2 linked regions of the Arabidopsis thaliana genome follow. The protein of the gene in region 1 purifies or fractionates together with the protein of each later gene. This does not show direct contact. Each region holds a gene or a part of one and is shown in the gene's direction. Other genes may lie near its edges.

Region 1 (7,369 bases):
ATATGGTAAATCTCTCTGAATCTTATTTGCTTATTATGCAAAGATGGAATTGTTCATATGCCTATAATCTCCGGCTTGTCTTTTGTTTCATAGAGCTTGGAAGGCGAAAATGGATTACACGCTCGAGGTGAAGAGAATTCAATGCCGGGACAAAGTTCTCTGGAGTCTCTTATGCAACGGCCTGTTCCAGTGCCTCCACCTGGTAGCTATCCGGTTCCTAATCAAGAACAGGCTCTTGGGGACGATGATGGTCTTGACTATAACTTTGGGAACTTATCGATAAAGGATAAGAAAGAACAGATTGAGATTACACGGAACAGCCTCGAATTGCTCTCTAGCATGTTGAATACTGAAGGAAAGCCAAATCACACAGAGGTAGTTGCTACGTTGTCTGCTCATCTAACTTTTGTCATTTTCCTTAACAAATGTCTATGGAATATGGATTGAGTTATGAGTATCTCCTGGTTTACATTATTGTTTCCTTGGATATATGTGCTTAAAGTGAAATTGACAGGACAGTGATAAGTAATAGGTTTATATATATTATGGTTACAGGACGATCTAACGGTTAGCCTGATGGAGAAATGCAAGCAATCGCAGCCATTGATTCAAATGATCATAGAGAGTACAACAGACGACGAGGGAGTCCTGTTCGAGGCTCTGCATCTGAATGATGAGCTCCAACAAGTTTTATCTAGTTACAAGAAGCCTGATGAAACCGAAAAGAAAGCCTCCATTGTGGAACAAGAATCATCAGGAAGCAAAGATACTGGTCCGAAACCAACAGAACAAGAAGAACAAGAGCCTGTAAAGAAAACGGGTGCTGATGATGACAAAAAACATTCAGAAGCATCAGGATCCTCCAACAAAACCGTCAAAGAAGAGAAGCAGGCCGTGAAAATAGAACTGGGGCTTTCGAGTGATGAAGATGAAAAATAAGCAGTCTGTGTTTGTTGTCTTCTTCCGACATGGATATCAGAATGTTGCGAAGAGTTGTTCTTGATGGTTTACTTTTAAATTATAACAATGTACTTCCATTATAAGTGTGGAACCTTTTTAGCTTCGTTTCTCACTTTCTGTTTTAAAGTGGTTTCTTAGACATTGTTAAACCGTAGGTGAATCTTCACCCGAAACATTTATACGAGGTGTTTTGGTTTGCACTTAGCCTATTGCTTATGTGTTGAGAGGTGAGTATCTACATCTCCTCTGGATTATATAAATGGCTTGATAAAATTCACCTCACTCTCCGATAAACTCGCTCGAAATGATAAAACGAAGTCTAACCTTTAATGTGTTTAATGTGTTTAGTCTTCTCAAGTCAAATAATAATCGGAGTCTTGGTCTCTTGGACGATGCTACACAGGGATATTTCAAAAGTTTACCCTTATCACCAACTAGAGAACCCAAATTAGGTCTTGTACCGATTGTAGAGTATATGTCTATACGATACTTCTCACTGTCTCTTGGACGATGCTTCACAGTGATATTCCAAAAGTTTACCCCTGTCACCAACAAAGCCAAATAAGGGCTTGTACCGATTGAAGAGTATATGATACTTCCCACTACACTTGAGTAAAGAACTGTCTTCATGTAATCATTATAACCATCTTGTTATGCTTACTATCTTCTTCAAATCGCAGCTTTCAATCTAAAATGAACTCCTAAGTGACATACGACTAATTTTGCTTCATCCATCGCAAAACGCAAACATCTTTTAAAACTTTTACTGAATTTTTTCTGCAGTAAACATAGTGAACCCGGTTTACGTTCTGGTTTAGACGTTTCAATTTTTTCTAAATTGGGCCGATTGACATATAATTGGACCCGACCCATCAACATATCCCACATCGTTACAAATAGATTTCAATTACTATAATTTAATCAATATATACCGACTAAAACTCTCTGTCCGACGTAGAGTCTTCCAATCAAAACCTAAATCTAAATTTTTCATTCCCTTGTTCCGGCGATAACAGTCTCAGTGGCGACAAACCCTATTGCCGAGCCAACTCGCATTTTCCTCTAGCTATCGCAACGCCTCTCGCTCTCTCTCCCCACCGGTTCGTCTTCTCACTCCTTAACTTTGTTCAGCTTGTTGATTCTACCCTAGGTTATTGCTCTACTCCAACGCTTCTGCTCGACTCTCGCCTTGTTGTTTTTCTTTAGTCCAACTTAGCATAAGCTTCTGCTCGATTCTCTCCTAGGGTTTTGCTCTAGTCTAATTACCTTAAGTTTCTGGTTGATTCTAGCTTTTTCATGGTGTTCTCTTGGACTTGGTGTTGAGCATTAGAGGAGATTACTCGCCAATGGGTTAAATAAAATATGTTGCAGAATTGCTATAGTAAATAACCCAGATAGATCTATCAAAAGCTTGATTTTGTGGTAATGCACTCATTTGACTTTTTTGCCGTTATTGTTTATCTGCTACAAAATCCTGATTGCTCATGGGATTCTTTTTTGACAGGTTTACATAAAGATGGAAAGTAGCTTGTATGATGAGTTTGGTAACTATGTTGGACCTGAGATTGAGTCTGACAGAGATAGTGATGATGAAGTAGAAGATGAAGATCTCCAAGATAAGCATCTTGAAGAAAATGGTTCCGATGGCGAACAAGGGCCTGGGGGTTCTAATGGCTGGATTACCACTATCAATGATGTTGAGATGGAGAACCAAATTGTTCTTCCTGAGGATAAGAAGTACTACCCTACTGCTGAGGAGGTTTATGGTGAGGATGTTGAGACCTTGGTTATGGATGAAGATGAGCAGCCTCTTGAGCAACCCATTATCAAACCTGTTAGAGATATTAGATTTGAGGTGGGGGTCAAAGATCAAGCAACGTATGTGTCAACACAGTTTCTTATCGGCCTCATGTCTAATCCTGCGCTTGTGAGGAATGTTGCTCTTGTGGGGCATCTACAGCACGGCAAAACTGTCTTCATGGATATGTTGGTAGAGCAGACGCATCATATGTCTACTTTTAATGCTAAAAACGAGAAGCATATGAAATATACAGACACACGAGTCGATGAGCAGGAGAGAAATATATCAATCAAGGCGGTTCCAATGTCTCTTGTCCTTGAGGACAGTAGATCCAAATCATACCTGTGCAATATCATGGATACCCCTGGACATGTCAATTTCTCTGACGAAATGACTGCTTCTTTAAGACTTGCTGATGGTGCTGTTCTGATTGTTGATGCTGCTGAAGGAGTGATGGTAAGTCTTTACTCTCTCTTTTTTGGTCTGTATTTTTAATTTTTTGAAGTATACTATTTGTACTGACGCTAATAATCTTTTTTCAGGTTAACACAGAGAGAGCTATACGGCATGCAATCCAGGACCATCTCCCTATTGTAGTTGTTATCAATAAGGTACTTCATGCTTCAACGTGTAACTTAAGAGATACTGTGTGAAATTTTATATTTCCATACATTTGCTTGACCTTTGCTTTTTGTCAATTTTTTTCCCCCAACAGGTTGACAGGCTCATAACTGAGCTCAAACTACCTCCAAGGGATGCTTACTACAAGCTGAGGCATACAATTGAAGTCATTAATAACCACATATCTGCTGCTTCAACAACTGCTGGAGACTTACCTCTTATAGACCCTGCAGCTGGAAATGTATGTTTTGCCAGTGGTACAGCCGGATGGTCCTTCACATTACAATCTTTTGCTAAAATGTATGCCAAGCTTCATGGTGTGGCCATGGACGTGGATAAGTTTGCATCTCGACTTTGGGGAGATGTATATTATCACTCTGATACTAGGGTATTCAAGAGAAGTCCTCCAGTAGGTGGTGGAGAAAGAGCATTTGTTCAGTTTATTCTGGAGCCCCTATACAAGATATACAGCCAAGTGATAGGTGAACATAAGAAGAGTGTAGAGACCACCCTTGCAGAATTAGGAGTGACTCTGAGTAATAGTGCATATAAGCTGAACGTCAGACCTCTACTTAGGTTAGCCTGTAGTTCAGTGTTTGGTTCGGCATCAGGGTTCACTGATATGTTGGTAAAGCACATTCCTTCACCCAGAGAGGCTGCAGCTAGGAAGGTCGACCATTCATATACCGGAACCAAAGATTCCCCCATTTATGAATCAATGGTAGAATGTGATCCATCTGGACCTCTCATGGTTAATGTGACAAAGTTGTACCCCAAATCAGATACTAGTGTTTTTGATGTGTTTGGAAGAGTTTATAGTGGTAGGCTTCAAACAGGGCAAAGCGTACGTGTACTAGGAGAAGGGTATTCACCTGAGGATGAGGAGGACATGACTATAAAAGAAGTGACGAAGCTATGGATATATCAAGCTAGGTATAGAATACCAGTAAGCAGTGCCCCTCCCGGTTCCTGGGTTTTAATTGAAGGTGTCGATGCATCCATCATGAAAACTGCGACTCTGTGTAATGCAAGCTATGATGAAGATGTCTACATATTCCGGGCTCTCCAATTTAATACCCTCCCAGTAGTCAAGACTGCAACTGAGCCTTTGAATCCTAGTGAGCTGCCTAAAATGGTGGAAGGGCTTAGGAAAATTAGCAAAAGCTATCCCCTTGCGATTACCAAAGTTGAGGAGTCTGGGGAACATACTATTCTAGGCACAGGTGAGTTGTACTTGGATTCAATCATGAAGGACCTCAGGGAGCTCTATTCAGAGGTCGAAGTAAAGGTATCTAATTGTATCTCTAATTTGGCTCTATGACTGTGATTCCGGTGTGCAAGCAAATTGCTGATTTGGCTGTTTGATAGCTAAGATCCTTTTGCTTTCTTAAATTTGTAGGTTGCAGATCCGGTGGTCTCCTTCTGTGAGACAGTGGTTGAATCTTCGTCGATGAAGTGTTTTGCTGAGACACCAAACAAAAAGAACAAAATAACTATGGTAAGAGATCTTCTTTTTCCACTATTATCTCTTATATATTAGACTGCGATGTTTGGTATGGTGCTCAAGCACAATTACTTTGTGAAAAATCTGATATCTGTTTCATGCTAAAGATTGCAGAGCCATTGGATAGAGGACTTGCAGAGGACATTGAGAATGGCGTTGTAAGCATTGACTGGAACAGAAAACAACTTGGTGACTTCTTCAGGACGAAATATGACTGGGATTTACTTGCTGCACGTTCCATCTGGGCTTTTGGCCCTGACAAACAGGTGAAATGCTTGTATTCTTAAAACACTGCAATCTGGGGTTTACTTTATCTTTATTGTTATGGTTGGTTTATGTCTGTTTTGACAATTTCATTGATTGTTGATTTTCGACTGATCAGGGGCCAAACATATTATTGGATGACACCCTTCCAACTGAGGTGGACAGGAACTTGATGATGGCAGTGAAAGACTCCATTGTTCAAGGGTAATCATCTTTCTTCTGTTACACTTTTCTTTTACTCGATTTTGTTGGCTTTAGCTAAGTGGCTTCGTTTTATTCCTCTTGCAGGTTCCAGTGGGGTGCTCGTGAAGGTCCCCTCTGTGATGAGCCCATCAGAAATGTAAAGTTCAAGATTGTTGATGCACGGATAGCACCAGAGCCATTGCATAGAGGATCTGGTCAGATGATTCCAACAGCAAGACGTGTTGCATATTCAGCTTTTCTAATGGCAACTCCAAGGCTAATGGAACCTGTCTACTATGTGGAGGTACATAATCCCTTTCCATTTTTGCTCGTCACATTTTTTCTCTTAAAATGATAACTAAGAGTTATGGTTTTGTCGCAGATACAAACACCAATCGACTGTGTAACTGCAATCTACACAGTTTTGTCACGTAGACGTGGGCATGTCACATCTGATGTTCCTCAACCCGGTACTCCAGCTTATATCGTGAAGGTTAGTTTTGTTTGTGTCTTTTCTCCTTACTTTGTTCCTGTTATTTGACTAAGTGATGATTCATTGAGTATATTCTTTGGTGTTGATGCAGGCCTTTCTGCCTGTGATAGAGTCCTTTGGGTTTGAGACAGATCTGAGGTACCACACTCAGGGACAAGCCTTTTGCCTATCTGTGTTTGATCACTGGGCCATTGTGCCAGGAGACCCTCTAGACAAAGCCATCCAGTTGCGCCCACTTGAGCCCGCTCCTATTCAGCATCTAGCTCGGGAATTCATGGTCAAGACCCGCCGTAGAAAGGTATTATGATTTCCTTTGTTTCAATGCACATCCCAAAACTTAGTGGGTTTCATGCGGTTAAAGATACGAATGAAACCATAAACTGATTTGTTACTCTAGTGTTTGGTTAAATGACCCCAGTAAACCCTCACAAACCAAAGGATCCCCGAAACTACTGTTTACAAACCCGGCCCTTGCTAATTACTCTTTAACCAAGTAACACCAGCTATAATTTGCTGGATACATCCTAGGCTAGTTATATTGTATGACTCGTTGGGTGTTTGGATCATCAGTTTCAGACTCTCACGATATGTATAATTTGTTGGTTATGCAGGGAATGAGCGAAGACGTCAGCGGAAATAAATTCTTTGATGAAGCGATGATGGTAGAGCTTGCCCAGCAAACAGGCGATCTCCATCTGCAGATGATTTGATGATCTCTGCACTTTTTTCATATAAATCGTGATTCAGGACTAGTAGTAGTATCTTCTCTTCTCTATATATGTGAAAGGAGAACAAGAAAATGTGGATCAGTTTTGTAATTGATGTGTCAAATTTACGTTGTAAGTTGAGAGATTTTAATGAACTCAACAGTCCACATGGTCACACTCACACATGACTCGCAAATAGTTGACAGGAAATGTTCACAAATTTTTGTAAAATTGTAAACTACTATTGGATTATGGGAAACTGAACTAGGTTATGACACTATCATTTATAAGATGATCTCATAGTTTGTTGTCTATATGATTAGTAATTATACATATGATACAGAGAACGTACGATCCAGATCCTATTTCCGCAAAGAGTTTTCTGCATAACTAAGATTTGATTCTTCAAAAATGCTAAATTTAAAGATAAACCAGGTCAATGGCACAAACCTATCTAGATATAAGTAAGTTTTTCTTCATAATTTAATTTAGTGCACACAGACGACTTATTTTACTCCAATGAAAATCGGTTAATTCGTCAAACGTCACTACTTGTCTCAAAGATTTGTTGTGCTTTACTATTTTCGTCTATTTCATGCTTCCATAATCAGCTTTTTACGTTGACGTGCTCTTTACAAATCGAAGTGGACGTGGCGGCAACCACTTATACTTATTATACATAGAATAAAGCTACAAAATATATAGTTAAGGCCCTGGTGGATTAATATATACATCGTTTAAGGTTTTAGATTGGTCTCCTCCACCTTATTTTATGTGCATTGCCAACTCTGAAAACGTCATGCCTTATCTTCATTGGTTATATCCATTTGGCTCCA
Region 2 (5,110 bases), on another chromosome or scaffold:
AAACTTCATGTTGAGAAATATAGCCCAACACAAATTGGATGGACCTCAAAAGATATTGGGCTTACGTTTGTAGTTTCCTTTTCTCAAGAGGCCTAAGCCCATTCCAACACTTTCATCATTTTTCTTCTTCTTTAAAATACTTAGCAATATGGTATAGTTCGAAATTTTAAAAATGGAATATAAATCTTGTATCATGGCCTCCCTCTTTTCCCTGTCAATGATTTAGATGATAATATTGATAATCCACAATTTCGTGGGTTGTCACTATTTCCTCTGTGATTGGAATCTTTTAATCTATAAAAAATGACAATTGTTAAACATAAATGGTTACAAACAGCTTTGTTGTACCAACATAAAAGAATGTTTTAAACGGCTCATGATTAATAATCATTTTGGTCCATCAAACCGGTTTTTACCCAAAAAAAAACCGGGTAAAATTTAAGCGATTTACCAAACAACTAACCCCACACGTGCCTACCATAAACTTCATGCCTATTTCTCACCACACACTATCTTACACGTGTAGATTGTATATATACACATTCATGTGTGTATCTCCTTGTTCCTCTGTTTCTTTACCTTTACTTGCGGCCAATCGTAGAAGAAGAAACAAATCAGGAAAAAAAAGGTACAAAAAAAAAAACTCTCTCCTATGTGTCTTTAATGGTTTACAAGTAATCAAATTAATTATAGATATATTGATCTGGATTATGTTTACAATGTTACACATTGTTAGAATTTCAAGAATCGGCGGCGGAATATTCTCGCCGGAAAATGGGGAAAGCTAGAGGAGTTAACAGCGGCGGCGGAGAGAGCTCTCTCGGTTATCTTTTTGGTTCCGGCGAGTCTGTTCCCAAACCAAACAAGCCCAACGCTAAAACCGGTTTTACCACCACCACGACCACCACAACAACAACGGATGGAGCTGGAGGTAGACCCAAGACCACGACCACAACTACAACAACCGGAGATAAAAACAAGACAGAGGAGAACTCGGCTGGTGTGAGAGGAAGTCCTAATAATTACTACAGATCAGATGGACAAAACTGTGGCAACTTCCTCACGGTAAGAGTTTTAAATTCAAGTTTGATTGAGGAACTTGAATTTAAAACTGATTTGGTTTTGTGGTTTGAGAAACAGGAACGACCATCTACGAAGGTTCATGCTGCACCAGGTGGAGGATCTTCTTTGGGTTACTTGTTTGGATCTGGTCCTTGTGGATCTGACAAATGATTTCTATTTCCACGACAAACATCTCATGCATTTGACCCTTTGAAAAAATGTAAAAATTGTTCTAAACTTTATTCTTTATCCTTACAAACTGGTTTTGAGGATTGTTTTGAATTTGGCCATTTCTTGTGTTCTTGAAAAAGCTACGAAGCTTTCTCAATCTTGAGATCTCCAGAATGTGTTTCCAGCAAAAGAAAATCATTTTACAAACTTTGCTATTGGTTATACAACTATTCAAGTTCCATGTTCCTTGCTCGGTCACCATTCTCATAACAGCTTCCTGAAATTCAACCTTTTTTGCATAAACAACAGTGCAATGTCTCGGACTAGTTCATTACTTGTCTTAACAACATGGATGTTTCAAGCCAAAATTGATCATCATGTTTGACTTGCAGCTTCTATCTATCAAACAACTGTTAAGTATAAACATTTGAGATCATTTAACCAAAAGAACACGTACAATTAAGCGGATCACGGTGGCTAATCAAGCCGGTCACCAAATTATACGATTGATCCTGACCGTTAGATTGTGTACGTTAATTTTGATGCACAAAACCGTTTCTTTCCCTCGTTATTTTATTATTAGACCGGATCCGGTTCAATTCTGAACCGAGAAAAACCATAAAACGTTGATTAGGGCTTTCAATTTGTTGCTTTGTCTCTCTCGAACTTGTGCTAGGGATTTAGGATTAGCGTTAGAGACTCAGTCGAGCAGAGAATGACGACGATTGTTCCCACCTCCGAAGAAGATCCTTACCTCGCCATTGTTCGTTTCACTTCCCAGCTTGCCTGGGCTGATGCTGGTCCCGAGGTCGGTACCAACCTCTGTTCTCAATCATCGACTAGTGAATACGATTGTCTATTTCGAAAGTTGCTACATTTCGTTATTGGAATTTATGAGCAATTTCTGGGTATCTTTGTCTTTATGCGACCTTAATTTGGGAATCACTGATTGTTGAGGCGTTGTGTTGATAAAAATGAAGTCTGAATTGAGCAATTTAGTGTTTTAGCTACCATGTGTCTATTGCAATCTCACTTGATCTGATTGTTTTAATAAAAATTGCCTCACTATGGAATTGTTTAGTTGATTATGATTTCTTTTGCTTATTAGGTCGCAGAGCCTGAAGTTTCCAGGCTATGTAAGGAAGCAGAGGAGTCTATAATAAATGGGAAGTGGCTGGATTTGGCAACGTTGATGGTAACTTCAGCTGACTTGGTATCAGCCAAAATCTCTGAGAAAGGTCTGTTTTTTTGTGTGTGCAGGTCTATATGTTTGTTAGTCCTTTTTAACCATAAATAATATCTCTTTAATTTTGATGGTGTTTGCCTCTTATTAGATCTTGAGTGTACCTACACCATCATTTGCAACCTTGTCAAGAATGCGAACAGTCCTGAGGAAGTCCTTGAAATGGTGAAAGCTATAGCTGCTAAGGTTATTCAACAACCAAACGACAAAGCTTCATTGCGTTTGAAGATGTATGATCGTGTGACTCTTTGAGCTAATCTCTCTTAGGAGTCTTTGAGCATCTATTTTAATGTTTCATTTTTGTGTTATGTGTTTCTCATCTGTTGCTTGTCTCTGTGCAGCCTCTTCAATCTATATAATCTGGTAGACCACCCAAATGCTCGTTTTCAAGTATACATGAAAGCTCTGGAACTGGCTGTAAACGGGAAGGTTACCGAGTATATTGTACCTTCCTTTAAGAAGATTGACAGCTTCTTGAAAGAGTGGAACATTGACATCAAAGATCAGCGGGAACTATTTCTTGCTATTGCTAAAGTGCTTAGAGAAAATAAAAGGTACTGCAACAATGTTTGTTTCTTCTTTTTCCTTTTTTTAAGGTATACCAATGTCCTCATGGGATTTTTAATCAATATTTCAGTTTTGCGAAAGAATCCCTCCAGTTTGTGACAAATTATTTGGCAACTTTCTCCAATGAAGATACCCAAGTCCTGAGTGAAGCCAAGGAGGAAGCTGTACGAGCAGTTATTGAATTTGTCAAGGCTCCCAGTATATTTCAGGTATCCTAATTCATAAATCATTCATTCAAATGCGTAAGATTTTTGCACGTTGACTTGTTACTGTCATTGTAGCTTGTAAGTGTTAACTACTGCGCCTTTTGTTCAGTGAGGTCTTTTACTGGAATTACATCCCTGACTTTTGTATTTTGAATTGCAGTGTGATTTATTAGACCATCCAGCTGTCGCACAGTTGGAGAAGGATCCTAACAATGCACCAGTTTACCAGCTACTGAAGATTTTTCTTACTCAGAGGCTAGATGCATACATGGAATTCCAAAATGCGAATTCAGGATTTCTGCAAACATACGGTACTGTTCTTATCCCTTTACCGCTTGACATGATCCTCAGATGAATCGAATCCTTCATTCTTTAGTGAACCCATAATAAGCCATAGACGGTATCTGCAGGACTTGTCGAGGAAGACTGTGTAGCAAAGATGAGGTTGTTGTCCCTAGTTGATTTGGCCTCAGATGATTCTGGCAAAATACCGTATGCCTCGATCAAGAACACCCTACAGGTTAGCTTCTTTTCTACGAACAATACATTAAATGTTGATAACCTTTTTTGCGTTGCTTTCTCAGACTCATCGAATTTGTCGGGGGTGCAGGTAAATGACGAGGAGGTTGAATTGTGGGTGGTTAAGGCAATAACTGCAAAATTGGTTGCTTGTAAGATGGATCAGATGAACCAAGTTGTAATTGTCAGGCAAGTTTCTAATCTACTTCTATTTCGATTTATATGTGTAAATCCAAAGTCACACATTCTCGTACTTCATATCTGTTCATGTATCAGCCGCTGTGCCGAGCGTGAATTTGGACAAAAGCAATGGCAGTCTCTTCGAACAAAGCTAGCAGCTTGGCGGGTAAAATATAAAACCAAAATTTGAAAATCCTGCGATATTGAAAATTCGTTGTAATAACAAGATGTTTCTTGTTCGGGTATGTGCAGGACAATGTTAGGAATGTAATCAGCACGATCGAATCGAATAAGGCAACAGAGGAAGGTACTCAGACATCATCAGCAGCTCAGGGATTGACTGTCCGTTGAAATATATCTCTGAAGAAGAAGCTTCTCAATCTAAAGAGTGATCTGATATTGTCATCTCAAAAGCTTTATTGAATTCTTTGCAGAGTTCTTTTGACCGTTGGATCTTTTTGATTCCGGCCTTCTTCTTTGTGTTGGCCTCTTTTTGTCCCTTAAATTTATGCGGAGACTTGCGATACATTGTTTAGATAAATTTATCACCAATGCATGAATATTGGGAGTGGCTAATAACAGCTGGCGCAAAATCATTGGATTAAAAAATAAGAGCTTTGTTTTAGTAGTCGAGTATAAAATAGTGGATTCAAATTACCCCAGTCGTGTTCGTTTCTTTTCTTTGCTTTCAATAAATGTCACAACTCCGCTCTAGTTATTCGTCAATTCCTCTTTGATTCGCGTCAGAAAGCTCTCGAATTGGCGTCGTCGATCGTATCACAATTTCAATATTGAATCTCGTGTTGGCTTCAGATTTCTTGTTTCGATTAGAAAATTGAAGTTTTTTTGGTATTGATCGATCGGTTCTCTAGGGTTTGGGATAAGTATGGATAGATTCAGCAATTTACCAGACGATGTTATTTACCACATCGTTTCTTTTCTTTCGGCAAAGGAGGCTACGTGCTTAAAGTTTGTCTCCAAGAACTTTCAGAATTTGGTTACTATCAAACGAAACGTTGTTTTCCATCATTGGGAAAGTTTCAAGAATTTTGTTGATGGATTATTAGCTGAACCTGCCAGTTACCGTATAAAGAGATTCTCTCTGAAATTGGTGTCTATGGATTTTGCTCAGTATAATATTGTCAACGATTGTCTTTGCAAT

Evidence for each region.
Region 2: the proteins of MEE5 (region 1) and AT5G15610 fractionate together in Arabidopsis thaliana (co-fractionation; one large-scale study listed by BioGRID). This does not show direct contact.

The regions. Positions count from the first base shown.
Region 1 is NC_003070.9:1,898,048-1,905,416, forward strand, and holds MEE5 (Ribosomal protein S5/Elongation factor G/III/V family protein), read left to right. Parts: upstream 1-1,903; 5' UTR 1,904-2,060; intron 2,061-2,185; exon of another isoform or gene 2,186-2,249; 5' UTR 2,250-2,382; intron 2,383-2,464; 5' UTR 2,465-2,476; coding exon 2,477-3,217; intron 3,218-3,303; coding exon 3,304-3,372; intron 3,373-3,476; coding exon 3,477-4,670; intron 4,671-4,781; coding exon 4,782-4,880; intron 4,881-4,993; coding exon 4,994-5,152; intron 5,153-5,268; coding exon 5,269-5,354; intron 5,355-5,438; coding exon 5,439-5,637; intron 5,638-5,715; coding exon 5,716-5,826; intron 5,827-5,917; coding exon 5,918-6,124; intron 6,125-6,437; coding exon 6,438-6,536; 3' UTR 6,537-6,850; downstream 6,851-7,369. Other genes in the region: AT1G06210 (ENTH/VHS/GAT family protein), read left to right, coding at 1-5, 94-375, 556-939. UniProt on the Arabidopsis thaliana protein: Splicing factor involved in pre-mRNA splicing and component of the spliceosome. Essential for reproduction. In female gametophyte, is necessary for the egg cell and central cell fate determination and hence reproductive success.
Region 2 is NC_003076.8:5,077,631-5,082,740, forward strand, and holds AT5G15610 (Proteasome component (PCI) domain protein), read left to right. Parts: upstream 1-1,827; 5' UTR 1,828-1,948; coding exon 1,949-2,041; intron 2,042-2,341; coding exon 2,342-2,471; intron 2,472-2,567; coding exon 2,568-2,706; intron 2,707-2,817; coding exon 2,818-3,030; intron 3,031-3,113; coding exon 3,114-3,252; intron 3,253-3,409; coding exon 3,410-3,560; intron 3,561-3,659; coding exon 3,660-3,769; intron 3,770-3,859; coding exon 3,860-4,114; intron 4,115-4,200; coding exon 4,201-4,299; 3' UTR 4,300-4,604; downstream 4,605-5,110. Other genes in the region: SP1L4 (SPIRAL1-like4), read left to right, coding at 775-1,065, 1,141-1,233; AT5G15620 (F-box/RNI-like superfamily protein), read left to right, coding at 4,835-5,110.